Linked DNA regions of Cricetulus griseus. The protein of the gene in region 3 interacts with the protein of the main gene of each other region in a pairwise test. Links are inferred from orthologs where the notes say so. Each region holds a gene or a part of one and is shown on either strand. Other genes may lie near its edges.

Evidence for each region.
Region 1: the proteins of Ube2n (region 3) and Mid2 interact in a two-hybrid assay, tested with the Homo sapiens proteins (2 studies listed by BioGRID). The link is inferred for Cricetulus griseus from reciprocal best matches to the Homo sapiens genes UBE2N and MID2.
Region 2: the proteins of Ube2n (region 3) and baculoviral IAP repeat-containing protein 3 interact in a two-hybrid assay, tested with the Homo sapiens proteins (2 studies listed by BioGRID and IntAct). The link is inferred for Cricetulus griseus from reciprocal best matches to the Homo sapiens genes UBE2N and BIRC3.

Annotation. Positions count from the first base shown.
Region 1 is NC_048604.1:39,567,194-39,577,406, forward strand, and holds the end of Mid2 (probable E3 ubiquitin-protein ligase MID2), read right to left. Parts: intron 6,894-10,213; coding exon 6,732-6,893; intron 5,262-6,731; coding exon 5,054-5,261; intron 4,686-5,053; coding exon 4,283-4,685; 3' UTR 373-4,282; downstream 1-372. UniProt on the Homo sapiens protein: E3 ubiquitin ligase that plays a role in microtubule stabilization. Mediates the 'Lys-48'-linked polyubiquitination of LRRK2 to drive its localization to microtubules and its proteasomal degradation in neurons.
Region 2 is NC_048597.1:122,235,625-122,245,837, forward strand, and holds the start of baculoviral IAP repeat-containing protein 3, read right to left. Parts: upstream 8,995-10,213; 5' UTR 8,860-8,994; intron 4,002-8,859; 5' UTR 3,909-4,001; coding exon 3,056-3,908; intron 2,950-3,055; coding exon 2,850-2,949; intron 930-2,849; coding exon 851-929; intron 1-850. UniProt on the Homo sapiens protein: Multi-functional protein which regulates not only caspases and apoptosis, but also modulates inflammatory signaling and immunity, mitogenic kinase signaling and cell proliferation, as well as cell invasion and metastasis.
Region 3 is NW_023276806.1:161,498,840-161,509,152, reverse strand, and holds the start of Ube2n (ubiquitin-conjugating enzyme E2 N), read right to left. Parts: upstream 6,946-10,313; 5' UTR 6,788-6,945; coding exon 6,758-6,787; intron 1-6,757. UniProt on the Homo sapiens protein: The UBE2V1-UBE2N and UBE2V2-UBE2N heterodimers catalyze the synthesis of non-canonical 'Lys-63'-linked polyubiquitin chains. This type of polyubiquitination does not lead to protein degradation by the proteasome.

The DNA.
Region 1 (10,213 bases), on a different chromosome or scaffold from region 3:
TGTTCTGGTCTTAACTAATGGATTCTAGCAGTGGGATGTTAACTGTTCTTTAATTCCTGCCTTCTACCACAATATCTGAAGCTAGATGGATCACATTCTCTTGGACCTTCGACCTTCATTTCTTTAGATATTTTGACTATATCCTTATCCTAAAACCAAAGTCTTCATGATTGGACCGAAAATTTAGAACATCCTAGATCTTTACTTGATGAGATCTCTATATTATTGCTGGTGCACGCATGCACACACACACACACACACACACACACACACACACACACACCACTCCCTGAGCCACTTACCCAATTCTGGCAACTCATCTTCCATTTAGTGCTTTCCCCAAATAAATTCCAATGAGAGACAATCAACAACTCATGAATACATATATATTTATTTAATTCATAATATAGCATTTTGGATGGGTTGGGATCTTTAGAGAGGGGTGAGACTGTGTAATCCACAGATGCTCGTATTTCTGTCACTAGGAGAGACACTATTAGTCCAGAGCTCCCAGTACAAACAAGCCTGGGGTAAAGCATTTGATAAAAAATAGTCCAACAATAGTCTAATAAATATTCTAGCCAATAACAATAACACAGCATATTTCTGAAGCTGGCAGACCACATCATAAAAGGCAGTTTTGCCTAACCTGATGGCAATAAATCTGGCCAACTTGTAATGCGCAGCCAAATACAGCCCAATGACTCTCAGGCTGGAATTGGCTTAAGGAGCTACAAATAATTGTGGGAGTGGTTCATGTCTACCTGCCTCACATTCTCCATTCCTTGAAAGAAGGGATTTCAGCAACTGAGCTTATTTAAAAGTCCATCCATAAATTGATCCATCCAGGTAGTCATATACAAATATGTAAACCATGTAAGCTGAGAAAATTCACCTAGAATGCTTGAGCTGAAAAGCATATATAAGTGATTTTGTTGCAATATGAACTTCACTGCATCCAAAGACACACAATGGAATTACATAATAAAACACAGCCAGATGCAGTTACTCTTACAAGTAGCAAGAACATCAATGTGGCATTAAATTTTCTTTCGTATTCTCAAAACAAGCTTAGCTTTATTTTGTGCTTTCTTCAACAAGACAATATAAAAAGTGGAAACAAGCATAAATTGCAGACAGAAAATAATTTTCTAGGAGAAAAAAGTTCTGAATAGTTAGATCGAGTAAAGCAACAACAACCACATTTATTGAATCACATTTCTTGATGATGGTAAATGTAGGTCATGTTCCATTTGTGCAACTGGCTTTAGCTAGTGGTAGCCTCTGGTCCCTGCCATTGCCAGTATTTTATGAAAGTCCTTAAGTTTACTGAAGCAAATATCTGGAACCCATCATAGCCCTCTGAGTGATTTGCCACCATGTTGTTCCTTGGAAAGCATTTCAATTATGTGCCTCAGAAGTTGGGATTTCAGGGGCAAGCTTCATTGCTTACCACAAACCCTATTTAATTTCCCAGTTTATATTTCAGTAGCCTATTTCAGTAGGCTTATCTCTGCCTATAATGAAAACTTAAATCCACCTTCAAAGAACAACAAAGTTCACTGAAGTTCATGAAAACATGAAATGTTATTGGGAGAATGGTACCACATGCTCCAAAGACAATTCTTTATGATAACTGCCAATTTGGAACAGTGTTCATTTGTATGTATAAGCCCTGATACATTTAGAAACTAATATCAATACAGACTAAATAAGTAACCAGCTTGTCCAAGAATAACAAATACCACTAATGGACATCATAGTCAAACAGAGCAATTTTGATTATTCATTTGTTCAGTCATACATTCTTTCAACAAACATTAGCCAGGCAACTACTTTGCTCTAGACACTGTGCTGGGCATTAAAAATACAACAGTAACAAAAGTCACAGTCCTTACCCTCAAGGTATTCCCACTCTAGTCAGGAAGAGAATAATTATACATTAAACTTTTGTGTGAATCAGAATCACCTGAGAAGCTTGTCACAAATGTAAGTTTATGTCCCCAGATAGTCTAATTTAGTGGATCAGGATTAGGGGCCAAGTATCAATTGTTTTAAAGAACAAATCACTAAGGGTGGCTCTAAAATGGGCCTTCTGAGGACGGCATTCTGAAAATGACATTCTAAGAAATACTACCATACAATGTGATTATTGCTGAGACGGGGTGTTCAGTGTGCTCAGGGAGTGCCACAGAGGGCCACATAAGCCAGTTTGAGAGGTCACTAGATAACTGAGAGAAGAAGGGAAAGGTAGTCCCAGGGTGCAGTCAAAAGTAGAATGGGGACTAAAGCTTTGTTCCTAGAACTAAAACTTCAAAGGATACAAAAAATAAATGAATGGTGTTGGAGAAGAAAGGAATGTTGGTGGCACATAGAGTGAATGCCAGGTGCTGTGCTAGGCAACTCCATTTTAAAACCTTTGCTCCAGCCTTATAAAATAAGAATCATTTTACAGAAGTGGAAACAGACTCTGAAAAGTACTTTCCTGAGGTCACATTGCTAGGTAAATGGCAGAGAAGCTAGGACTATCTCAGTCTCCAGGCTGGGAGCTTTCTAATACCACATGCTTGTTACAGCACTTCTGAGCTTTACTGAAGTTGCTCATTCCCTGATGAGTCAGCTGTAAGGTACAGATGATACTGAAAGCCAAAGAAACTGATGCTGTCACTTGACATGTAAATCTGAGCCTTCCTTTTGTTCAGCACTGATCTCGCTTTTCATGGTAGATAAGCAAACAATCTATGTGTTACTTGGTGGGATTTACAGAGATATGTTGTCTTTTGTGAGTAAGAGTGAGTCATTTAACAGCAAGGACTGCATTTTAGTGATATGTGCACTCTTGCAGCAGTAGTGTGGCATCTAATAGCTCATTGAACAAATTAATAAATAAGAATCCACCATGCTGGTAGAAAGCAGGGGAAACACTTGACACTGCAGCAAGGCTTCATACAATCCAGGCAATGACTACTACTATCACTTTACAACTACATAATAGTAATCATTTTACAACTACCAAGGAATGGACTTTGCTCCTGGTATAAGGCTCTATTTCTCTGGCATTTCCAATCTCTGCAAAAATAATTGGTGAAATCACAAACCATGAACCTCGGTTCCTGTTAACTAGTGTGATGACAAGTAGAATAGAATTTATGTTGTCATGAAGGGGATGCTAAGTGAATGAATAATGTAAACAAAATCACACAAGAATGAGTATTGATCCTATTGATGAAAACAGCATTTCAGGAGAGCTTCATCTGAAAATACAAGTACATTTGGACTCATATAGTTGTTGAACCTGTAACACTATTCTTACTGATCAAGTAAGGCGAATTCTGAGGAACCTCCATTATGCAACTCTATTTTTTAGCGTAAGTCTAGTAACTATGTATTTGAGAGTAACAAAACTATATTTCTTTGAAATATTCTATGACAATTTTTAATAATTCAAATAAATCTCCTCTATTAAATAATATCAATGAAATTATGCTACACAGCACACTAGACCAGAATCAATTTTCAATGTAGCAGTAGCATCTCTTAAGCAATCTTGTCCACAGAGCTCTCCTAATCTAACCAAGAGCTCTTCTCACTCCCTGTGTCTTGATTGCATGTGTTTTTATGTGTGACAGGAGGGGGTCTGGGAAGAAAGGCTAAAAGGTAAGAAGAGAAAAACACCAGTCTACTGTGATGTTTCATCTAGGGGATAAGAATGGACAGTATAATTCATTTTCCTTTTCAATATATCTCTCACTTAAATGAACAAATTAAGGTTTATCGTATATATGTAATAGATAAAATGATCTATGCCATTTTGCTCATAAAATGAATTCAGTCATTTTATATATTATATATACACATGTATGATATTCTCATAACACCTTGATTGTTAGTTTATTAAAAAGTGACAAATATGATAATTTGAAACTGTGCAAATTCCATCTGGTCCACCTAGCCACTGCTAGAAAGGCTAATTCTTTCCAATTTCATTTATACTCTCAAACCACTGGGAATTTTTAATTTCCCAATGATGACAGAGATATTCTCTAAAATTCTTCCCCAATGTCATGAACCCAGACTATTCAGATCATTTGTTCTGAGTAACTCAATACATGAATCCAAACATAAGCTTTAATGCACAAAAAATTAAATCTACAATATCTAGTTATTTAGGGTGCTTCCAATGAACTGTATTTTGTATCTCACATATGGAACACTAATGGCGGCTCAAGAGGGGAAGAAATGCTGAAGTGGAGAGCCAGTGAATTACATGCTCTCTTGCCATTTAATGGCAAGCTTTCATCCCAGACACATAGGGGGATTCTTTAGGCCTGCAGTTGCATTCCTGCTGCTCAGGGTAATCAATAAAATCTGGGGCAGGCAAGCCAGACATGATCATGAGGGATTTGTTCCAGATTGTGAATGTTGGACAAACTGGAAGAATGAAGGTCACATCAAAAGTGTGGAGATGGAGCGAGTTAGCTGGGTCATAGAAAGACAGCATGTTGTTGTCATAATCCAAGAGGACACCTAGACGCTTCAGCTGTGGGGGCACATCCACAAGCATTTCCTTGTTGTTATGTCTCACCACGAAGTTACTGTTGCATCGGGAGAAGACCCAGGAAGAGGCATTCTTGCCAATCCACTCATTCTTTGGAGCTGATTTGTAGGCGATACCAATTGCATACCTGAGACAGTGGAGGAGAAGACAGAAAAGTATTTATGGATGATATGAGTTGTGTTAGACATTATTTAGGACCTACGAGTGACTCACTGTGCTTCTTCCTTAAAACATTTATATTTACAGGCATAATGCTAATTATCATCAGATCTTGTAAAGCCAGCAATTAGAGTGATACAGCACTTCAGCTCCTAGCCCACTATATTTTCCATGATTTTTATCTTTTAAAAGCTGGCCAAGTTTTCTAGCACTGGTGCCTATCATATATCTCTTAACCTTGACTTATTGGTATTTTAGCTGTGCGGTAGAATTGAATCTCCTAGGAACCTAACAGCAGAGAAGCTGGGACAAGGAAAGAAAAAAATAGCCACTCACCATGTTGAAGAACCCATGACTACCTCCCAGTAGTGGCAGCCACTGTCAATGAATATATTTCCTGCTGCCCCATAACACCCAGTGCCACTAAATCTCTCTGGGGTATGGCTTTTCTTCAGAGAGCTTTCATCCTTCTCCATCTGCAATCCATCATTGGAGATCTTCAACTTCTTGTGAGTCATTTTGGGATCTAGTTTAAAGGGTTGGCCTGAAAAAAAGTAGAGGAAAGGGGGAAAGCATGATCAAGGATTTAAGAACTGTGCCTTTCCCTCCGGGACCATCATTAGCAGAGGATCCTCAACATGACGGTGATCCTTCGCTAAGTGCAGGTCAGCTGGAGTTTGGATTATATTAAGGAAGCAGGCAAGATGGCACACTTTGCAATTAAGTCAGAATACAAGTCATTCCTCCCCTAAAATAACCTTCATTCAGGCATTATTTTCCATCTGTGTGAAAAATGTGGGGCTCTCATATGAGTGCTATGCTGGAAGCCAGAGTCCAAGCACATGGGAGCTAGTAAAGTATTCCCATCATATGTTATGAAACTAAAAGGGACCACTCAAAGTCTCACATCCTCAAATATGTTTGGTACTTTGGTTTATTTCAGTGAGTGGGTGGGGATGTGGGTAGATTTTTTAAAAGAGTGTTGCAATGTTTGAGGTAGAAAAGCTTGTGTTAATGAGGCCATTGATCACTAAAGAAAAACTGAGAAGAGCTCAGCAACCGGAGATGTTGGCTTTCTAATTGGAGAGTGCGTGTCATTAGTCGACTTTGTTACAGTGACTGCTCCATGGTCGATGATGAAAGATAACATGTGCTTTGCTGCAGAAACTCATAACCCTATGCCAAAAACACTGTCCCAGGCCCCCGGTGCTGGTTAGGGCAAGAGATTTAGTACACAATATGCCTCTGTAACAGACACTGTGTGCTAATACAGTATCCATTACTTATTTTTTTCTCTCTCTCTCACTCAGTCTTCCAGCCTTCCTTGCTGCTAGGGACAGCTAATAAGAAGGACACTGAAGTCAAAGAGACTGGAAGAAATTTCCAGTTAAGCTTCTGTTTCCTAATTAAAAGATTACCAACTTTTCCCTTCTTCCTAGTAAGGGAACTATGACATCAGCAGTTGCACTGGCCATCTTTCGACCTTGTGGGTAAACCAATGCACAAAGAAGGAGCTCCAACCTTCCATGAGATCTCAGAGCTGCTATACTAGCCATGATCAGGCTGCCCTCAAACTTCTTGCTATGTATGTTTAAACACAAACAAACTAACTAAAACAACTAGTAACTTAAGCTACTTGGAAATACTTGTTAAACTGTGTCAGTTGTGACCGAGAACATTCCTAACCGATAGGGCTTCTCTATGGTAGAGCTTTGTAGATCGTCATAAGAAACAACTCTTTAACTGAATTTTTCTCCCAAGCATAGGACCCAGGGGTGGAAGGCAGAGAAAAACCCTTCCCTAACTTCTTTCTAGGCCACAAGCTATTCTATATATCTTAGGCCACAAACATCCATGGGTACCAACAAATCCCATAGACCAAGCATAACAGTAAAGCTCCTCCACTCAGAGCCACTGCTCTCACACATTATAATGGGGGAGTCTCTCAGGCTAACTGTCCTCCCTGGCACAGAGAGGAAAGCTGGTCTTTCCTTCTAGAATCTCCAAAACGTACTGTTTGTTTTTAGCCTGGTGGGTTCACTGTTCCGGCTGCCCGCTTGATTTATGGCTTTCACAATAAAGATGTAGCGTGTCCCACTCTGGAGTCCATGCACTGTGTAATGGTTCTGTTTAATGTTGGGCACAATCATCCAGCTATCCACTGAATTGTACAGGCCTGTGAAGTGGAGAAGACAAAGGCATCAGTCAACAGGGAAAAAAAAAACAGGATTAAAAGGAAAACACCGAAAATCTATTATAACCCACCCACGTGAATTCATTTTGTTTTCTTCTGAGCCTTGAAACATACAATGAGATGAACCAGCGCTTATGATTTCATTATTTATTTGCCATACACTTAGACGTGTGCCAGGCTTCTGGCACCTAGCAACCACTGATCAAAGCTAATTTTTATCATTTTTCTGCCAAAGAACACAAGAATGGTCACTATTCCAAATAGCAGAATCCTCACAATTATGGACTCTCTGGATCTTTACTGCTGAAGTCTGTTTCTGTGAGAAGTCAGTCTGGCCTTGCATGGACCAAAAAGTTCCTGTACAGAGCTCAGCAACATGAAAACTCAGAGCAGAAAGGCCACCTAGGCATGAATGTCCTTCATTTCACAGGGCAAACAAGGATGGAAGGAAAGTGATTTGCCCATGCTCATAGATGGTGTTCTAAGTAGAACACTGATCTTTGTATCCTACACCAGTGATCTGGGCACTACATCACTGGTGTGGGGGGGGGATGAATGACTCTACATAACCCTTTGTCCCTGTAAGATTTCAGACCTATATCACTCTGCTTTCCCACCTCATCTGCACCCTTACTTCTTAATTCGCTGGACTCAAAAAGAAGTCAAGATGACATGACAAAGCAGGACCCAATCTGTTTGCTCTGATGGGACATGATTTTAGCTCTTCCTCGCTTGATTCCGGTATTCATCTGGGGCCAAGTGGTCCACAATTATATTATTGTCCAAAAGATTTTTTTTTCTTCCCAAGCATGGCAAAGGGACTCAAGAATGCTTTGTTTTTAAAAACAATCTTGAGACTACAAATATTAACTTAAACGGAGGGAAATATATGTAGTTAAAAGCAAGTATTTGGCTAGCTTTCAGTAAAATGATTGCTGACGCTCTATTCTCTTGATTTTTTTTTTTTTTGCTTCTGTCTCCTCTTATCTGTTTCTCAATTGCTATACCATTTCAAAACACAATTCTACTTTCTTCAAGTAGAGGGGGAGGAAGGGACAAAGAAAATGGGGACCAAATTTAGTCATTTTCATACAGCTCTAATGAAGGATTTAGTGAGATTAGAAATTAGAAAGCATTGTATTTTACAAGGGATTTTATCAAAAGATTTATAATTAATTTGAGATAGGTAGAAAGGCCTAAATTAGAACTAGAAAGCAAAATGTAAACTGGGGATGGTGGTATATAACTGAAAACCCAGCACCTGAGATGTAGAGGCAGGAGGATCAGGAGTTCAAGGTCAGCCTTGTCTATAGAGCAACTTCTAAGCTCAGTCAAGGCTGTCTCAATACATCAAACAAAAAACCAACCAAAGAAACAAAAATCATAATCGGGAACAAAAAGATGTACTAGAGAAATAGCACCACGAATTGGTTGAGATATTACATGACTTGTGAAAAAAAGGATAAGGGCCACGACAAAGCTTTGATCTAAGTGTATCATCATTGGACAGTATGAGCAACAAAGAACAGAAGAACTTTTATCACATAGAGGAAACTACAGGGTGTCCCAATTTTTTTAAAAAAAATAACAGCTACAAATATTCTTCACAGTGAAGTACCATGTAGCTATTTAAAAAAAAAAAAAAAAAGATTGAGGAGGATACTCTCTGAGCTAGTGGAGAATGATTTCCAATATAGTCAACTGAAAAACTCTATGAAAAACCATATGTATTATATAGCATTTTCAAGGGAAATGTATAATAAATCATACTATTTTCCTGGATTTACAGAAACAATGGACAACCTAGAAAATAATAAAGTTTGTCACTTACAAAGGTAAAAGGGATACCAGAGAAAAGGATAATTCTCTGAGTATACTCTTTGCATATTTTCCCTTTTAAAGAACTTTTCATTAAAATTAAACCAATAAATCCAACTTCAAATTTGAAAAACACATATAATTCAACAAGTTAAATTCAAATCACCACCAAAAACAAAAAAAACAGAAAAGATGGGCCTAACTAAAGGCAAACTAAAACAAATTAAAGCCACTACATTTTAAAGGAATAATGACCATAAAAAATGCAGTTGAGGGGAGCACTGTTTATGTGCTCGGCCACATCCTCAGCCCCTGAGCAAATCAATTCTGAAAATATTTTAGACATATGACAGGATAATGTACTGATGTTGTTGAGACCCAGGAATCGTACCGTGGAGAAAAGAACATACATATGGAATGAGAGGAGGCAAGAAAGAACTTAGGGAGATGAATTAGAATTGGGCAAACCTGATGTGGCTGCACGTCGTCTGGCAGTTTTCAACTCATTCAAACTTTCCTTCCAGGAGATGGAAGGAGGCTCATAAGACCCAGGAGATAAACAAAACATCACCCCTCTGGGGAAATGGAACAGTTTTATAGGAGTAAACAACTTCTGGGGGAGGAGACTGACCAGCCAAGGTGTGGAGGAGAAACCACTGAACTGCCTGAAAACTGTGCTAAGAACTCCAGAGTTGCAATTTTCCTAAGTCATGAGCCATGTCAGGGTGGGATTTTTGGTGATAAAGTTGCTCTTTTGAGCTATCCCTGGTTTTTCAAGTAACCTTTTACCCATACTCTTCTAAGTTACTCCAATAAAAACTCATTGGTTCAGCAAGTTGGACTTTGGTGCAATCATCTTTTGTCTATTGTGAGTTCCCTTTCGTGTGTGTGTGTGTGTGTGTGTGTGTGTGTGTGTGTGTGTGTGTGTGTGTGTGTGTGTGTGTGTGTGTGTGTGTGTGTGTGTGTGTGTGTGTGTGGTGTGTGTGTGTGTGTGTGGTGTGTGTGTGTGTGTGTGTGTGTGTGTGTGTGTGTGTGTGTGTGTGTGTGTGTGTGTGTGTGTGTGTGTGTCTCTGTGTGTGTGTGTGTGTGTGTGTGTGTGTGTGTGTGTGTGTGTGTGTGTGTGTCTGTGTCTGTGTCTGTATCTGTGTTTGTGTCTGTGTCTGTGTCCTCAGGAAAAGCCTCTCACACAACACTGTATGATTTCTAAAATATGCAGTTAGCCCTCTTTATCTGTGGATTCTGCAATTAATGATTCAATCAACTACAGATTTTAAGGTGTTTAAAAAAGATTAATTTATTTTATGGGTGTATTGCCTCCATGTATATAAGTGCACAAAGTGTACGCAGCACCCACAGAGTCTAGAAGGGAGTGTCAGATCCCCTGGAACTGGACTCACAGACAGTTGTGAGCTGCCATATGAGTGCTGGAAAATTATTCGGGGTCCTCAGTTAACAATAGCTGGTACTCTTAATCACTAAGCTGT
Region 2 (10,213 bases), on a different chromosome or scaffold from region 3:
TTACATTTACCAGGGGTTTGAACAAGGTTACCAGCATCCAATAGACAGTGTGCTGCAGTGAGCAGAGCCTCCTCAGGATAGGACTGGCTGGATTCAGGAGAGGCCACATGATGGCCTTGCATCTGCAGCGGCTGTACCTACTCATCTGCTGGGATAGATGACTCAGCACTCGGTTCCTCTAGCCATGGCTGATAAGTTCTTGAAGCTTAGACTATAAAATAAGTTCCCATATGCTTTTTCCAAGGAGCAGTAACAAATGCTTTCTCAAGTCACTGAAGAAAAATTTACAGGTGTGGAGAGATAGCTCAGAGGTTAAGAGCACTGGCTGCTTGTGCTTCCAGAGGTCCTGAGTTCAATTCCCAGCAACCACATGGTGGCTCACAACCATCTATAGTGAGATCTGGTGCCCTCTTCTGGCATGTAGGCATACATGCAGACAGAACACTGTATACATAAATAAAACTTAAAAAAACAACAACAACAAAAAAAACTACAGGGTAGACATCTCCCCTCAAATTTAATTTATTTTTTGCTTCAGAGTTTAATACATTGATGATTGGTTAGACAAATGCTTAAAGAGGAATACAACAAACACTGTCTTTTATGTGGCCAATAATTATAGATCTTTTTCTCACAAGAATGGCTCCCGGCATGGTGATGCTGATTTTTGAAAGAAAAGATGAGGGCCTGTTTTAAAACAACTTTCACCTTTTCACTGAAATATTACTCTGTGATTTATTTTACAAACAAATTCTTAAAAATAATTTGTTAAACAACTAACCCTTTAAAAATAAATAAAATTTCTCTGTTGGGAAGCAATAATTGAAAAGAAAACAGAGGTCTTTCCTACCTGTTCAAGTAGATGAGGGTACCCAGCTTGAACTTGGCCAACAAACTCTTGTCCTTTGATTCTTATCAAGTATTCACACCTAAAATGCAAAGAAGCCTTGGGCATTCCTTAACAAGACAACTTTGTTCATTACCAGCCTCAGAAGGGACAGTGCCACTACAAGTAGTTTTATTGTGCTCATTTTTATGATTGAAAACTCATTTTAATTTCAGAAAGTGAAGTGAAATGTAATGACACATTCATGTCTAGGTGTTCACCTTGTGTGAAATCTGGTTACCCAGGTGACAGAATCACCAAAGACCAGATTCCTAACATTAGGAGAATAAGCAAGCCTGGGCTACCGGGACTGACACTGTGTGAGCTTGTTTTCCTTATGGGGCTTTATGAAGGTTCATTGTTTTGCTTGTGTGTATGTCTGTGTCCGTGTGTGTGTTTATGCACGTGAATGCCAGGCCCATGGAGGTGAGAAGCACCTGGCCCTCCGGGACTGAAATTATAGGTGGTTGTGAGCTGCCTGAATGTGGGTGCTGGGAACCAAGAGCGGTAACCACTGACCCATCTCTCCAAGTGCTGCCCATTGAGGGGAGGGTGAATTTGATTAACTTCTAGCACTTTTCATATACTTCAGTTGCTTTATAAAATTAGCTTTACTACTTTATGTTTTATAGTTTTATTACCAGGCTATACCATATCTCTCTGAATTTTGAAAATCCTGAAAAGTTTATGGCACATTGGGCGGAGCCATTCTATGTAGGCTGGTAAACATTCCTCAGGAGCTTGAACACAAACATAAGCACCACACTATTGACTTGGCACAGGAAGGAGGAAGGGGCTGTAGCGAAAGGCAGGATCATGGAGAGGAGTAGCCTCTGTGCTGTCAAGGCTGAGCCACTGAGTGGTGATCACGAGGAGCTCCCAGCACAGTCCTCAAGCCAAGGCCACCAAGAGGTCTCTACTCAGAGTTTCTCCCTGCTCTCCATTCTTCTTAGGTTTCTAAAAATACCGCTAAGCCAACATGGACGCAGAGAGTTCTCTCCATAAGTCATGTGATCATTTCAGTGACAATGTCATGGTCTGAAAACATGCAAACAGACTTGAGGGAAAGAATGGGGACACTCAGCACAACCTTCTGTTGATGAGCTTCCCAATCCCTACATTAGAGATCCCCTGCTAAAGCAAGTACAGAGTGAATCCATACAGTGCTGGTGCAGGCTCAGGACTCCTACTGTAGCGGCTGGCGAGACGGCTCAGTGGGTACTTGCCACCAAGTTTGGTAACATGAGTTCAGTCCCACAGGATAAAAGGAGAGAACCAGCCCTCAAAAAGTGTTCTCTGACCTTCACAAAATATACACACATAAAACAAACAAAAAAAAGTATTAAAAAATTTAACTAGAGTAATGGAAAGCACTTTTTAAAAAAATCTATGTAAATACTTTTTTTCTTTTTTGGCTTTTCGAGGGGGTGGGGGGGATATTCTTCATAATCTTCACAATGTTTAAAATCTGAAGTAATGGGGCAGAAGAGATGACTCAATAGTTAAGAGCACTGGCTGTTCTTCCAGAGGACCAAGGTTTGATTCCCAACTCCCAAGAGTTGGCTCAGACCCTCTCTAACTCCACTCACAGAGGGTGCATCGCCCTCTTCTGGCCTCTGCAGGCACTGCACAAAATGGTGCTTAGACGTGAGTAGGCAAAATACTCATGCATAAAAAAATAAAACAAAATCTGCAGTACTTAAGAGCAAAGATACAGGGGGGGGGGGCGGTGGCGGCCCACGCCTTTAATCCCAGCACTCGGGAGGCAGAGGCAGGTGGATCTCTGTGAGTTTGAGACCAGCCTGGTCTACAAGAGCTAGTTCCAGAACAGTCTCCAAAGCCACAGAGACACCCTGTCTCAAAAAAAAAAAAAAAAAAAAAAAAAGGGCAAAGGTACTCTAAGGAAGATAATGTATCTCATGAAAATCTTATAAGATGTAAAGGAGAATTTCAAGGCAGTTACCTTGGAAACCACTTGGCGTGCTCCACCCAGGGGTCATCTCCAGACTCCCAGCATCTCAGCCCGCCATCACAGCAAAAGCATTTGACATCATCACTGTGTCCTAAAATTCATTTTGAAGCACACTTGTGAGTACACAAAATTTGCTCAGTCACATGTGTAACATAACACATGTTGGATCTTTAAGAGTCTCAGATTGAGGTTCTCACCTGTGTAATAAAAGCCGGCACTTGCAAGTTGCTGAGGATGAACGGGAGCACTGGGAGGCCAGTTAAAGAACGTCCTAACTCGTGCTGCGTGTGTCTGCATGCTCAGGTTAGAGACAGAGTATCTTGAAGCGGATTGACTCGGATCTTTTAAGAATGGGCAATTGGGAAAATGTCTCCGATGCTCTGACATAGCGTCATCCTTCGGTTCCCAGTTGCTCAGTTTCCCACCACACGCAAAGCAGGCCACCCTGTCTCCAGGTCCTACATAGTAGAAGCCGGCTCTGGCCAGCTCAGCTGGTGACAGGAAGGACAATGGCCACGTTTGATAGGTGAGTAATCTGGCCTTCTCCGTATTCATTGCAAAGTGGTAGGGACTTGTCCTCAAAGTAGGGCAATCTTGATTTGCTCTGAAGTTCACAGCATCCGAGGGAAAGCTTGAATAAGAGCCACTGAAATAACCAGTGTTCTCCAAACTTGCAAATAATGAAGGCACGGCGCTTGGCTCTGCAGACAGAAGAGGCGGCTGAGGGCTGGTTTCCAGACTGCCGGCTGGATTCAGAGTTCGAACAAAGCTGCAGCTGGGGTACAGCTGCCTGTGCTTTTCCACAGGACTGTCGCCTTGTTTCCAGTTGTCCAGCATCAGGCCGCAGCAGAAGCACTTGACTTTGTCGTTGACACCCGTGTAGTAAAAGCCAGCACGAGCCAGGCTCCTTTCCGATACAGGAACTCCAGCGGGGAAAGCTGAGTACGTGGACAAACGGTACAGCTCACATGAAAAGTCGTACTTCAATTCAAAGGTGTCGGCACTCTTCATCAGCTTGGACAGGAAGACACTGTCTGGAGCCATGTTCATGACGAATCGGTAGGGAGGGGAGGGGACCAGCCTTCCTCTGGGGAGGTAGTTTTGTGCATGGCTTTTGGTCAGTTTTACTACTAGGCTGAACACCTAAAATAAGAACAAACTCATTTTTTTTCTTCTATGTATTTCAGGATTCAGTAGGATGAGAGTCTAAATCCTACCCTGATACATTTAAGGCACAATTACACACAACCATACCTTTGCACAATCTTCATGCATACAATAGAAACTAGATTCTCCCTAAGAGCCAATGTGTGATAGAACTTAATTCCATCCTGGAAACATAGTGTTTGGGCACTTTGGGCCAGGCATCTTGAGGGGCAAGCCTGCTTCTCCTTGCTACAAGGAGGCACTAATGGCGTTCACCCAACCTGCACATGAAAGTCTGGTTCATGAAGCTATGTATGTATTCATATAGAATGAAACATGGATCAGACAGGATTTTAAAATAATAAACCACTTCAAGAGTTTTGTTTGGTTTTTGTTTCCTTTCAAAGGACCAAGACTTACTAACTACTTAGAACACCGAGTTTGTTCATCTGTAGCACTGGGGACTGAGCCCAGGGCCTCTGGCTCACAAAGCCTGTGTGGTACCACTCAGTTCTACAGCAAGTCTCAATCTCTCAATTTCTTTCTCTCTCTGTCTCTCTCCCCCTCCCTCCCTCCCTCCCTTCCTTCCTTCCTTCTTTTTTTGATTTTTTCAAAACAGGATTTCTCTATGTAGTCCTGGCTGTTTTAGAACTCACTCTGTAGACCAGGCTGGCCTCAACCCCAAACTCAGAAATCAGTCTGCCTCTGCCTTCTGAGTGCTGGGATTTAATGGTGTGGGCCACGAATGTAGGCTTGAGACCCAAACTCAGAAATTATGTCACAGAGTGTGTTCCCTGAGCACATATTTATCAAAACAAACAAGTCTATTACCATCTGAACACAGAGACCTTCAAATTGAGAGTCTCTCATAGAAGGACTCACTAGCCATTAGCAAATTCATCCTGTGTAAAGGCATGGGGGTTTGCTGCCACTGGCTGGAGTGGCTTCCTGCAGTTCACAGATATGGCAGGTTCTCTACCAAGGACACCAACTCATTATCTCTAAATGGCAGGAGAAATCCCACAGCTGTCAACAAGAGTCTCTCTCAGGAGAAATCATTGTGTCTAACCTCTCTGTCCCCTCCACAGGGTTATGAAAACTTGGTCGTTCTATGACATTTCTTTCTGAATAAACTAGTTCATCTGCCAAAATAACTCTCATGCTTACAGTCTATTTAAAAGTTGTGCTGTGTAGACCTTTAAAATACCAATGGTGGACAGTTTCTCAACTCTCTTGTAGTGTCTGTCTTACTTCCTCTAAATCTGCTGTGCCTACGAGAACATTTTGTTCCTGTTTGTTCTCTGTCATTGTTGCAATCTTTGAATGTGTCAGTGACCTCATGAGTACACTTCTGTACTACTGTGCAAAGCAGATTACTCATTTCCTCTGGATAGCCGGCACTCATGTTTGGATCTTTCTTGAATGTGGGCACTTTTTAAAAAGTGCCAGCCAGTGGGAAATTGCCAGGCAACTTTCTGAAGAGTGCTTCATCACTGTGCCCAGCCACAGAACTCCTTCCCTTCCTAGAGTCAAGTTCACAACCAAATCATAATACTCAACGCCTCAGACAATCAGACTACAGACTTCAAATGAGCATCTTTAGACAACAGTCCCGAAAGTCAACTGAGGGCTGAATTTGTCTGTCCATGCACAAAACTACCTCCCAAGATTAGACTAAGTCCCTTTAAGGGGTTTAGGCCTCCATTTTGAGATGTTTTGGTTTACAGAAAAAAAAAAAACAGAAAAAAAGCTACAAGTAGTAGAAGGGTTTGTGTCCTTTGTAAACCTGTTTAAAATAGAGAAATTAAAGTCAAACAACTCAGGTTTATAATACAATGTCTTTTTTCTTTTCTTTCTCCCCCTACTCCCTCTTTTTCGAGACTGGGATTTCCCTGTGTAGTCTAAGACAGCCTCAAACTCATGATTTTCCTGTCTGTTTCCCAAATCCTGGGATTATAAGCAAGTGCCACCATGATCTTTTCCTTAAGATGCTTTATACAAAACAGAAACTGGTCTGTAGCAAGAAGCTATGCTAATTCGGGCTGTCAGCGGGGCTCAGTGGTAGGGCACTCAGATAGCATACTCAAGACTCCTACCTCAGTCCCCAACTCTGAGAAAACAATGCTGCACTGGGTGTTGTCAGCCAAGAAATCTCACACAGAACTCATGAGTTACAGACCAGAGCATATATATAAAAACTTGCAGATGTCACATATACTTTGCACCCAGCTTCCCAAAATTAACATCTTATATAACAATAATGAAATTACAAAACTAGAAATTCCTTTTTATTTCTGACTGCACTGGGCCATCTCTCCAGCCCCAGTGCTCTTTGCAGTAATTTCAAGAGTCATAATACTTTACTCTTCTCACGTGCCTTTTTTGTTTTGTCTTAGACAGATATGCTACAGCTAGGGCTAGCTTGGTACTCAGTCTGTAACCCAGACTAGCCTCAAACAGTAGTATGCTGCCTGAACCTCCTGAGTTCTGAGGTTACAGGCATGAGCCACCAACTCAGATTCTAATTGTCTTTATTAGAATTACTAATGAAGGGCTTATACCTTTCTCTTTACAATTGAATAGTACTCCAGTGTACACACACACAAACACATTTTCTTCATCCGTTTATCTGTTAACAGGCATTCAATCTGTCCCGTTGTGAATAGTGATACAATAAACAGTGTGGGGGGTTGAATGAGAATGGCCCCCATACGCTCATATATCTGACTGTTTAGTCCCAAGTTGGTGGAGTGTTTAGGAAAGATTAGGAGGTGTGTCCTTATTGGAGGAGGTGTGTCACTAGAGGTCGGCTTTGAGGTTTTAAAAGCCCACACCAGGCCCAGGCTTTCCCTCTGCCTGCTGCTTGTGGATCAGGATGTAGCTCTCTCTCAGCTACTGCTCCAGCACCGTCCCTTCCTGCAAACTGCCATGCTCCATCATGATGATCGTGGAGTGGGCCTCTGACACCATAAGCAAGCCTCCAGTGAAAGCTTTCTTTTATAAGTTGTCTTGGTCATGTCTCCTCACAGTGACAGAACAGTGACTAAGACACAGGGTAGTCAGGAATTTCTCCCAAGCTGTCTTAAACTCCTCCATGTACCTATCAAGGAGTGGGAAAGCTGGGTCATATGGCAGTTCAGTGTTTAGTTTTCTGAGATGCTACACTGGTTTCCATAGACACCTTCCCAGCAACAGAGGGTTTGTTTTCTTTACATCCTAACATACCTCCATGCCTCGGCCCCTTCCTCCAATCTCTCTTTGCCACATTCACTCAGTTAACTGTGTTCTTCAAAAAGAGGTGCAGCCCCTGCCTGCCTGTGGTCTCAAGCCTTTTGGCAGCCTCAGAGAAACAACTACCCCCTCATGGAGCCACTCTCTCCTACTGCTTTGACTAGACTCTGCCTCACGTCTCCTCAAACACTGCACAACCCTAGTCCCGCCACAGTCCTTATGCTGAGTCCCTCTCAACTTCCAAATGAAGACCACCTCAAAGACCGCTTTTTATTCTAGCTTCTCCCGGGTCAGGTCCTCCCAACCAAGCCTAAAGAACATTTGCCTGTGAATCACATCTCCACACAACCAGATATTCTGTGTGCCAGCACCCCTCAAACACTCCATATTCATAACATCAAATCCACAGGAAGTGTTGCCATCTGCCACTGGGACCTACTTCCTCTTAGACCTGTCCTGATCCCCGCCCCTGTCCACATCAGTATGTAGGAGTCCTCTGTCCCTCACAGTGGTTCCTTGCGGGTCAGCTTGGCAACCCGGTCTCTTCTCTGCTTACTCTACCGTTTCCTGTAGACCTCAAGGGTGGCTGTATGACACTGCAGGGTAAATGTGTCTTTCTCCCTCCACCTTGGACTATTTCTCCTTCAGAAGAGGAAGTATACTTTAGTTTCTGTAGTAGCCACAGTCACAGGCCGAGCAAAGACACTGAGCCTTGTAACTGTCGTGTGAGACATATACCCCAGACTGGCATTGAACTCCCAAGTACCACAACTACAGGCCTGCACTACTAATCGCAGCAAAACTTCTTGTTGAATTTCTTAGCACAGTTGACAGGGCTCATCATGTCCATAGCACCTTCATTTATTAAGTCACATATCATAGGACGGGTGTCAGTCCCTTTTTACAAAGGAAACAACCAGGAGACCAGACATACCTTTAATCCCAGCACTCCGGAAGCAGAGGCAGGTAGATATCAAAGTTGCCTTGAGTTCAAAGCCATCCTGTTCTACTTACACAGTTCCAGGCCAGTCAGGGATACACAGTGAAGCCCAGAAAAACCACAAGTACCTCAGTTTTGTCGTTGCAGAATGGAGTTAATAACGGTGCCCACTGCTTACAATTGGTGATTAAGTGTACAGTTGGTGACATAAGTCTTTAGGGCAGACCCTGGCATGTAGTAGACAGAGAAATGACCACAGCCATTTCCTGACTAGATTAAGAGCACTACTGAGAAACTGGGTGCAGTGACTCAGACCTGTAAGTCCGTCACTCAAGGGGTTAAGGCAGGAGGATTTTCCAGAGTTCAAAGCCACTGGGACCTACCTATAGTGTGCGAGTGGTCTCCAACACCTATCCCTCCCCCAAAAGAAAGAGTCCTAGTGTACTTCCAGGCTGATTACTAAGAAAACAACCACTCCCATGCTCAAGCTTCCCCAAGCCCAGGTTCTCACAGTCTCAAGTCTCCCAGCTGCCTCTGGGCAGCCAGGGCCAGTGGGCAGGACCAGAGGTGCACAGCAGCCGTTTTTTGCAGGCCTGAGATCCAGCCACCCTGGCGACCCTCGAGCCACCCCAGGGACGCTCACTCGCTCTCCGCGCGCGCGCGCGCGCGCGCGCGCGTACTCACCGCAGCCCGCTCCTCAGGCTCTGCACGCCCGCAGGGACCTCCGATCTCTGGGGTGGCACCTGTCGCCCGGTCTATGGGGTTGGCTGAGTGTCACGACGCCTTTAAATCGTCCAGGCGGACCGCGCCCACCACCCGCCTCACCCTGCCCCGCCCAGGCTCGCCCTCCCGCGCAGGCCCGCGGTGCTTTCCTCCCCGGCTGGGGAACTCCGAGGGGCAAACCACACCACTTCCTTCTCATTCGGTGGCAGGCGGCCGGCCGGGGATTTCCGTGACTTCCTGGGCTCGGCTCGTCCCCGAGGCGTTTCCTGACAGTTTGTACTTCATGGTAGCCAGCTCACTTGAAAACAGATGTGCAGCCTCTGGGCTGGCCTGCCTGGAAGAGGCCCTGCCCCCGCTTCAGCCCCCAAGTTCTTCACAGAGAAAAAAAAAAAAAAAAAGGTCACAACTTTCCAGTCTACAACTGCCGAATAGAAAGAAAGAAAGAAAGAAAAAAAAAAAAAGCATATTTGACGTTAGGGGAAAAAAACCCTTTAACGCTGTAAAAGTCTCTCTGGTTATTTTCACTTTTTGTTTTGGACAAAAAAGAAGGAGATGAGAGGAACATTTTTAAAACGCCATGTAGATCGCCTCGTGGTTATTTTTATTGTTTTAAAGATAATAACCAGAACTGCAGGAGGATCTCTGTGACTCCCGGTCAGCCTGAGGGACATAGTGAGACTTTGTTTTAAAGAGGTTAGAACCACGTTGGTTCTTGTATTTGGAAGGTTTGTTTGAGGGCCTGAAGACTGCTAAGCAGCTAAAAGCACTTGCTGTTCTTCCTGAGGGCTGGACTTCTGTTCCCAACATCCACAAGGCGGCTCACAGCCACCTGAAATTTCAGTTCCCCCCTCCTGGCCTCCACCGGCCCTGCACATGCATGCGCGCAGGCATGAGGCAAAACACCCGCACATACATACATACGTACGTACTTTGGTGGGTGGGTTTCGAGACAGGGTTTCTCTGTGTAGTCCTGACTCCTGTAACTCGCTCTGTAGACCAGACTGGCCTTGAACTCAAAGATCCACCTTCCTCTGCCTCCCAAGTGCTAGGGTTAAAGGCGTGCACCACCGCCCAGCTATAAACACTTTCTTTAAGTTTAAAAAAACAAAAAAAAAACCCTGTTGCTTTGATCAGTTTTAGTAGGTGTTTTTCTTGTGTGTGTGTGTGTGTGTGTGTGTGTGTGTGTGTGTGTGTGTGTGGTTTTGCCTTGCTGTTCTTCGTTTTATAAACAGGATGAATAGATGTAGAAAAACAAAATCCCTGCCTTTAGCATTTTCTCTTACAAGGGATGACGATTAACTGTATCAGTGCTCTA
Region 3 (10,313 bases):
TAATGATTTTCAACAAATCCTAAACCTAAAGTTTGGTTTTTGTTTTGTTTTGTTTTTTCGATACAGGGTTTCTCTGTAAATTTGGAGCCTGTCCTGGAACTCTGTATACCAGGCTGTCCTCAAACTAAGATATCTGCCTGCACTTGCCTCTGCCTCCCGAGTGCTGGGATTAAAGGTGTGTGCAGCCACCACCCGGTAACCCTTAAGTTTTTAAGATGTTATACAATAAACCAAAAAAAAAAAAAAAAAAAAAAAACAGAAAGGCAGACAAATCAGATATGAAAGAATGAAATGTGCCCTTGGAGTCTTACTACCTTACTGAGTGTTTTCTTAGCAACCATAGCTGTAATCCCTAAATCTGTAAAGACTGAGAATACAAATTGATCTATCTAAAATTAGCCAAACTGACAAAGACAAAACAAGTGATAGCACTGAAAATTAACGGAGCACTTGCAAATCTGAACAGCCAATTTTCTTTTTTAAACAAATATGTATCAGCAATTAAATGATGAAGTCAACGTTTCAAAGTATTTTAGGGGCTGGCTATGGATCAGTAATAATAGGAGGTCAAGCTTAAAATGTGTGTATCAAATGAGCCTAAACTACATAGTGAGTTGCAGGACTGAAAAAAATAAAAACCAAGAATGTGTCTGGGTAGGACATGCTCGCTTCCATAATCTCAACACTTAGGAGGCTGAAACAAGAGGGTCAAATCAAGAAGCCATCCTGGGATGCACAGCATAGAAGGCCCTGACTCAAAAAGAAGTAAAAGACAGAGGAAAGGGGACAGAAGCAGAAACGCTCAAACAGGAGAAGTAAAATTGGGGGGGAAATGGTTAATCTCAAGAAACTGACTTGCTCGGTCAGTAGGTTCAATGGTGGATAGGCTGGTTTTGAGATGTATTCAAGGCTGCATGGAACTCAGTAGAAGAGGATAAATAATCTTGAGGTTCTAGATCTTTCTGATCTACCTCCTTGAGTGTTCAAGCTACAGCCTATGGAACCACCAAACCCAGGGCTTTTACACACTAGGCAAGCAATCTACCAAGTGAGCTACATATCCCCACCACATCACCAGCTTACTAGATTTTATCAAATAAATCAACTCCTTTAGTAAGTCAGTACCATTTTCAGACAGTATTTTCTTGTCCATGAATAATTTAAAAAAATAAAAGAATATCACTTTGGATGTGTTGGCATCCCTGTGATCCCAACACTCTGGAAGCTAATGCACCATGTCAAATTCAAGACCAACATAGTCTCAAAAACAATCAAATGGTATCAGAGATGGCTCAGTGAGTAAAAGCATAATAAACCTGCCAATCTGAGTTCTACCCCCAGAACTCATGATAGAAGGATAACCAACTCCCTCTGAGCTCCATAGGTGTGCCATGATTCATGTATATGCATGCATGCACACACTTGAAAAAATGGGGGGGGGGGCTCAAGACGGGGTTCTCTGTGTACCCTGGCTGTCCTGGAACTTGCTCTATAAACCATACTGGCCCAAAACTCAGGAGATCCACAAGCCTCGACCTCCTGAATGCTGGGATCAAAGGCGAGTGCCACCACACCCTGCTAAAAAATTAAGGCTTTTTAAGATCAGGGTATCAGTGTAACATAAAACTAAAATAGACTTATTTGTTCCCAAAATAATCAGTTCTTCTTTATGATAAATAAATCTCTCACTTTAGTGATACTTTGTGGTCTTTGTTTAGCTTTGAACTGAGAATAAACTCTAATGCCAAATGATGTGGTGGTCCGCACCCTATAATCCCAGGACTCTGGAGGCTGAAGCAAGATCTCAAGTTAGAGGACAGTCTGGGGTAGTTAGGAAGGACTTGTAGGAGAGCAGGGGAGGTTAAAGCTAAAAAAACAACTACAACAGCCAGCATCACCCACCAAAAAATCACATAAGCAAAACTATCAGAACTATTAATATTGCAAGACACAATTTAAAAGCTTTCAACAATTAGTTAAAATCCTAAAAGGCAGCTCTAGAAAAAGTAATTCACTTTGAAGGAGAATTGTTGGCCAGGTGGGTGGAGAGGATATCAAGTATTTACATGAGTAGGGGAAGAAGCAGAACACACATGAACTGAATTACAGTGGTCTTTCTGACAGGACACACCATAAAACACTGGTGTCTGTAGTGAAGAACTGAAACCCAGATAGGCAAAATCTTAATCCTCTCTGCACCCTTTAGAGCTTGTTTGGTCCTAGTCTTCTGGGTTTTTTTTGTTTTTGTTTTTGTTTTTTTGTTTTATGAATTTGGGGGAACACAAGAGACAAGTAAGTTGGCAGAGTGCTTGCCTAGCATGGGTTCAATACTTAGCACCACATAAAACTAGACACAGTGGCACATTTGGAGGCAGGAAATCACCAGTTCAAGGTCATCCTCAGCTACAAATGAGGTTTGAAGTCAGCCTAGTTTACATGAAATCTTGTGTATAAATATATATATATATATATATATATATAAAACTTTTTCAGAAATTGCTGGTTCAAATGAACACTACTAAACACAGTAACAATATCAAATTAAAATATGCAATCATGCTGGTTGGTGGTGATGCACACCTTTAATCCCTGCACTCGGGAGGCAGAGGCAGGCAGATCTCTGCGAGTTAGAGACCAGCCTGGTCTACAAGAGCTAGTTCCAGGACAGCCCCCAAAGCCACGGAGAAACCCTGCCTCAAAATAAAAAAAAAAAAAAAAAATCACAGCTCTTGTAAAACTTTTTACTGGGGGTGGGGCGGATGACAACAGACGGGACAGGCTAGGTGAGTGGTGACGCATGACTTTAGTCCCAGTACTCAAGAGGTAGAGGCAGGCAGATCTCTGTGAGTTCCAGGCCAGCCTGGTCTACAAAGTGAGTTAGTTCCAGGACAGGTTCCAAAGCTACACAGAAACTCCTCTCGAAAAAAACAAAGCAAAAGAACTTTTTACAAATAAATCTCATTGATTATGTTAAATGGTATTGCAGTATCTATCATATATTTGCCAAAGTTTCTCTTGACATTAAGAAGCAATGCCAGGATCACCCAAAGCCATAATACAGCTTTAAAAGTGTTTAAGTGTTAAACAGCAAAAAGGAGGTGACTATGGGGACATAAAAACAAGACAGTTAAAATTAAGATAGCCCTTCTTAGGACAGGTCTTGTGAGAAAATAACACAATATATTATCAAAGTGAGCAAGCCAACAAACACCAGTGAAGCCCCATGATTGGAATAAGCTTAACCATTCACTATCCTAGGGAGAGCAAAGCCAACACTGTAACTGTAGGAAGTGCAAGAGATGAGCTGATCCCAGATAGTATTGCAGGGTCTTGTATTTGGGGGCAGTTTGTCAAGATGTTGATTTTAGTATATAATGGAGAACCACTGTAGTTTTTCTTAGTGCTAATGCAAAAAAAGCAGGCAAAGGACAGATTTGATCAGGGGCTTCAGACAGATGGGAAAATATGCCTAACATAGAAAGTAGAGGCTACAGAATTTCTAATGGATTGAACACAGGAATCTGAAAGAGGCTGCCACTGGGTGAACAGTAACTCAAAAGTCATCTCATTTGGGTATGGTGGCACAAGCCTTTAATCCCAACAATCAGTAGGCAAAGGCTACACAGTGAGACCCTGTCTAAAGTGAAGGGGTGGTTATCTTGTACTTTATTGCTACCAAGGTATTTGTACATACCTTATGTTATTTCCAAGTAAGAAACAGTAAGGAAAGCCATCTGAATCAGTCACTAATTCACAACATTTGAATCAGTCACTAATTCACAAAGTGGCATCAAGGAACAAATGGCTTTAGAAATATACAAATACAATGGCCATCACGAGGTAGAAAGCACCATATTAATAACTCACCAAACCAAACGACTTAATATTTGTGAGATGAGAAGAGTAATATTGCGAGGTATAGTGTCCTATACTTTTAGTTTCAGAACGGGAAGGCAGCAGCAGGGAAATCTGAGTTTGAGGCCAACACAAGTTACATGGAATATTGTCTCAAAATTTAAAAAAAGACTATTAGCAATAGTAAATATTATCCTTTGAAAGCCAAAGTCTACCAAGAAATAAAATAATCCAATAGAAAAAAGTATGTCCCTATGGCTTCATCGACCCTTACCCACTTACTGTTCTAGTCACATAGACCCCAGTATTGTATTAACCTGTTTGAAACAAAGTCTCATATATTCTAGACAGGCCTCAACCCCCTAAGCAGCCAGGGATGATAAACTTCTAAACCCTCCTTCCTCTATTACATTAGAATCATAAGTATAAAACACCATGACAGACAAGTGTGGTGGCACACATCTTTAATCCCAGCACTCGGGAGGCAGAGGCAGGTGGGTCTCTGTCAGTTCCAGGCCAGCCTGGTCTACAGACGAGTGCCAGGACAGGCTCCAAAGAGAAACCCTGTCTTGGGGGGAAAAAAAAAAGTAACACTTAAATACAATACCAAAACTGGTTTGTGTGCAGTATTAAGGGTAGAACTCAGAAAGCTTGCAAGCACCATATCTGAGCACTCTCTGGCCCAAAAGTTACTTTTCAAAATAAATTTTAATGTAAATACGTTTTCTGCTTGAGGTGTTGCTTGGTGGTAAAGCATTTGCAGAGCACATACAAAGTCCTAGCTAGTTTCAATTCAATCCCTAACAGTAGAAAAAGCATATTTTTAACTGATTATAGAACCTACATAATATAAAAATGGATCTAAAAATTATTCTAGGGGGTGTCAGTGGCACACACCTTTAATCCCAGCACTGGGGAGGAAGAGGCAGGAGGATCTCTGGGAGTTCCAGGCCAGCCTGGTCTACAGAGTGAGTTCCAGTACAACCTCCAAAGCTACACAGAGAAACCCTGCTTCGAAAACAAACAAAAAAATTATTCTAATCTCTTAACCTGCCCTATTGATGGGGGAAAAAAAAAAAATCCTTTAAAGCTATAAGTACTGAAGTCAATTAATATTACATAAATTAGAGGTGGGTGCAATAAAATACTGTAAAGATTGTATGTCTCAGCACGAGTTTACCACTACCTTGTTTTAAAATAGCAAAATGGCAACACTGAATATATGCTTAAGCATTGTGTACCAAATGAATTAAACAAGCTCCTCAACATCCTACTTTAAACCATTTCTGTAAATTTATAGCCAATATTCCACAGAATTTATTTTCCCAATCAAGACTTTTGTATTACTGCAGAATATTAATCTTCACAATCAAGCAAAAATCAAAAAAAAAAAAAAAAACTACACCAACTGTTAGGTTCAGTGTGAATTTTAGAGAATTATATTCATTATCAATCTGTGGTATGTTTAGTCCCTAACCAAACAATAAAAACCCGGTGGTCTGGTGGGAAGCAATCATTTTTCAAATGGAATCCTGATTAACATGATCACTAGTGTTCATGTCTCTGTATCAGAATTAAACGAGTCAGGACTTTCCAACGCACGACCTAACAATTAAAATCTACTTTGAAAGAATCTGAGATTCATAATATAGCAGTAAAAGTTTATGTCAAGACTACAGTGCTCGTTGACAATTTATTCTTTCTTCCTAAGAATGTCTTATAAATGGTCTTGTTTTCTAATTTAAGCACCTTTCTGTCATACACCCAACCTCACACCCATTTGTGACTGCCCGAGGGACTAGACAGTGCATCACATCCTTCAAAGGGGCCCTCGATATAATTAGTACAAATCTCGCCCAAAACTTCAGAAGAGTGAACAGTGCTGTAAATTCAAGCTCACTAGATTACAGCAAGCAAAACGAAGCTTCAATATGGGCATATCACTGGCATGGTGAGCAGTGTAGGGTTTTTTTTTTTTTAACTAAATATCCTTCATAAAAACAGATGCCTATCGTGTCTGAAGTCTCAACGCTGTTATGTAAAGACTTCAGAAAATCAAGATACGAGTTTTTTCATGGTTCCATACGTACTCACCAAAACACAGTATTCCTAAAGAGCCTCGAGACCGCTTAGTATACGGAAGGCGCACGAAAACAGAGGCGAACTATTACAGATCATCCCCATAACCGAGATGCTTTGGGCTGAACCAGTGCCTCGGAACAGAAAACAGTTGGCCAAAAAAATAAAGAAAGAAAAGAAAAAAGAGTTTGCCAACCGGAGTAAAATCACTTCGCGGAGATAACCGGCAGCAACGCGGGGAAGCGAACACGGCGGGCAGGACACCCACCCGGGCGCCAAGCCCCCGGCGCCGCCGACCGCGGGCAGCCAGGACGAACATGTGCGGTCGGCGGCTGGACTCGCGGCCCGCGGCCCCGCCCGGTTCTCGGGGCCGGTTCATTCATTCTGCACCCGAGACCGCCGACCAGGAGAAGGGGGCTCCGGGGCGAAGCGGCCAGCCCAGGCCACAACCCACGCCCGGAGTCCAGGCCACGCCGCGATTCCCGCCCGCGGGTGAAGAAAGCCTGGCGAGGCCCGCGCCGGTCCCGCGCCAGACGCCAAGCCCGCAGCCCCGCCCTCCACCCGGCACCGGCACCGGCCTGGCCTCCCGTGCCGCGCGCGGCCTCGCAGCCCGAGAGCCCCCGGCGTCCGGCTTTCAGCGGCGGCCGGAAGTCTCCTCGGCGCCCCCTCCTCAGCGCCCGACTTCCCCGCCGCCGAGGCCAGACCCTTCTCCGCGATGCCTCGGGCCCCTCAGCGGCTGCCGAGTGAAGCGTATGGCCGCGCGGCCCGGCGCGTTGGTGGAGGAGAGCCGAGCGGGAGGCCCGAAGCCCGCCTGGGCGGTTACCTTAATGATCCTGCGGGGCAGCCCGGCCATCTTGTCAGATCCCGAGTTCGGCCTCTGCTCTTGTCTCCGGCTCCGCTCGCCTCACGCACGAGTGGAAGTCCCGGACTCCACTTCCGGGGGACGTCGCCGCGCCCGCCGCCGCTGCCTCCGCCGAGGCCCCTCGGGAAATGTAGTCCCTGCTTGGACGCGGGCTTCGGGCGGCCTTCCGTCCGACCTGATGGCCCCCTCCCCCGCACTCCCCGCCCCAACCCCAGCCGGGGGTGGCGGAAGTGACGCTCCGCGGCGGGGCAGGGACTTGGGGGAGGCGGCGCCAGGCAGCGCCGAGCTGCTTCGCCCGCGGCAGAATCTGCGCGAGACTGGGTGTCCGGCGTCCACGAGTAGCGTACGTGCGACCGACCACGCCTGCGCCGGTGGGCGACGTAACAAAGGCCCGGCCCCCGGCGTAGCTCATTCATTCATTCGTTCCATTTGTTCATTCAATGTTCCCGCATTGCGCGGCGGGCTGACGCTGCGCCGCATCTCCGTCGACCTGGTGATCGGGGGGCTTGTTCCAAACGAGAAGCACTCGATGGCAAAGCTTCTAACTGGGAAACTGGTTGTCAAGGCCCTGACAAATAATTCTAAATGTTTTAATTTCACATAAAAAAAAAAGGGGGGGGGCCTCGCCTGGCGGTGTGGCGCACGCCTTTAATCCCAGCACTTAGGAGGCGGAGGCGGGAGGATCTCTGAGTTCGAGGTCAGCCTGGTCTAAAAAGCAAGTTGCAGGACAGGCTCCAAAGTTACACAGAGAAGCCCTGTCTTGATAAGCAAACAATCAACAAAAAAAGGGAGGGGGGCTCTCCGACCTGTCCCCCACCCCAAAAGGATTTGCAACAAGTAGGGGAGTAATCCCTAAAGGAGTAGGAGTACCTTCAGAGTGAAGGCCCTAAAAGTGGAGGGGTCCCAAAAGGGATTGTTGGGTGTTTTCATTTCTTTTCCTGTTGCTGTGATAAAATATCCTGTAGCACGAATAATAGTTGATATTGATAATAAAAACTCAGAGACAGATATTGAGGTTAAGGCTGAAGATCAGAAAAACAAAGTGGCCAGCCACTAGAGAGTTCTCACCTCTACCAAAGCTCAGAAGGAAGGGGAGATCCTTGTCCTCAGACTGCATTGCTCTCCACCAACCTCTAAATCCAAGCTTTCCTGTCTCCTTCTGCCTTATGATTCCTCTCTCTCCACCTCCCTACAGGTTTTCCTAGGGTGGTGGTGAACGCAGATCCATCTGCCTCTGTCTTCTGGGATTAAAGGTGTGTGCCACCAACTGTCTGGCCTGAATGGCTGTGGCTAGCTTTGCACTCTGATCTTCAAGCAAGCTTTATTAGATCATAAAATATCACCACAATACTCCACAAGGCAACTTAAAGGAAAAGGGGTTAATTTCAGTTCAAAGGGGATAATCACCATAGTTAAGGACAGCTGGTCACATCGAATTTTTCATGCTAGTGCTTACCTCTCTGTTTATACAGCCCAGGTGACAACCACAATTAAGATGGGTGTCCATACATCAATTAAGTCCCCCACAGGCATGCCCAGAGGCTTTTTTCCCTAGGTGTTTCTAGATTCTATCAAGTTAACAACACTAACATACATGGTTTGGTGCCTTCAGGGGCCAGATCCACAGAACTGGACTTAAGAATGGTTGTGAGCCTCCAGGTGGGTCCTCTGCCAGAGAACCAAGTGCTCTTTACTGCAGAACCGTTTCTCCAGCTCCTTTCATGAGACTTAAGGGGCTGTTGCTGCTTCCATTTTAACGTGCTGTTTAGATGCTGTTAACGTTTTCTAAGGTTGTAGCAAAAACAATGCAGCTGCTTTCCCAGGCAGGTCTGCCAAAGCACAGGCCTCACCTAACCCTGGCTGCCAGCACAGTGACACAAAGAGTAGAAGGTGAATGAAAGGGAGAATGTTGCAGCTTGGAGCTGAGTTACCATAGGAGACCAGAGCAAAAGCAGACCATGCCTTCCTGAACTGAAAGAGTCCACTGTGGAAAAGACAGTGATTGCAGGCTAATGTGTGAAGCTGTAACAGGTTTTCCCAGGGTGCTACTGGAACAGAGAGAAGCATTAACTAATGGCCTTAATGATTCAAAGAGGTCTTTAACATCTTAAAGGAGCTCCTAAATCAGCGGTGACCACCCCCCACCATAAAATTATTTTCATTACTACTTCATAGCTGCAATTTTGCTATTGTTATGAACCATAATGTAAATATCTATGTTTTCCGATGGTCTTAGTCAACCCTGTGAATCATTTGACCCCCAAAGGGTTGTGACCCTCAGTTTGAGAATCCCTATCCTAAATGAGGAGTTCTATGAGATATGAAATAGCTTGAGAGCAACCCTGTACTATGAGAAATGAGAGAAAATGCAATAAGGAAAACTCAGAATGTGAGCACAGAAAAACTAGTAAGAATATGAGAAATGTTTTGTGCTGGGTGTGATATTAAATGATCACATGGATTATCTGGTATGCATATGAAGTAGGCACTGTTTGCAGCTCTTGAAAAAAAGAATTTGTGATTTTTCCAGACAGGGTTTCTCTGTATAGCCCTAGCTCTCCTGGAACTCAGAGAGAGATCTGGCTGCCTCTGCCTCCTAAATGCCAGGATTAAAGGTGTCTGCCACCAACAGCTAGCAAAAACAATTTAATTTATGCATATGGATATTTTGTCCCCTTGTATGTGTGTGTACCACAAGGAAGGCCTGGTGCTCATGGAAGCAGATCACATCAGATCCCCCAGGACTTGAGTTGTAGACTCCCTTTGTGAGCCACCATGTGGGAAGGTATTGAGAAGCAAACCCAGGACCTCTGAAAGAGCAGCCAAAGCTCTTAACTGCTGAGCCATCTCTCCAGCCCACATCATCCCTGAGCACTTTTTAGTTGAAAAATAGTGAGAACTTGAAAACAAGAATTTTAAGTAACCAGAAATCTGGGATGGTTGGTTTTTTGCTTTAAAAACCCAGAAAGTAAGTCAGGCAGTGGTGGTGAAAGCCTTTAATTCCAGCACTGGGGAGGCATAGGCAGGTGGAACACTGTGAGTTCCAGACCAGCCTGGTCTACAAGAGCTAGTTCCAGGACAGCCTCCAAAGCCACTGAGAAACCCTGTCTCAAAAAACAAAGAACAACAACAACAAAATCCCAAAAAGTAAATGACCCCAAAGAGATCTTCAGAAGATTTTAGAAAAAGCATGAGCTTTTTTACCTACTGCGGATTTACCCTTGTAGGCAGATAGACAGAGCAACCATAAGATTAGAAATATACACAAATCTGCAGTATGCATTGGGATCCTCGAGGAAGCCGCAACTCTGCCCCATGCTTTATCAGCCTGGACAGCTTGATGATGGCAGAAAAGCGAATTTCAAGCCATCTCACATTGTTGGCAAATTTCTGGTGGTTCCTCTCAAGGGGGATTCTGGAATACTCCCAAGGCCAGGTGGCTGAGCTCCAAGACAACGGGAATTCTGATATGCAAAAGTGGAAGTGGATGACTTCTTAACAGTGAAAGCCAATGGCA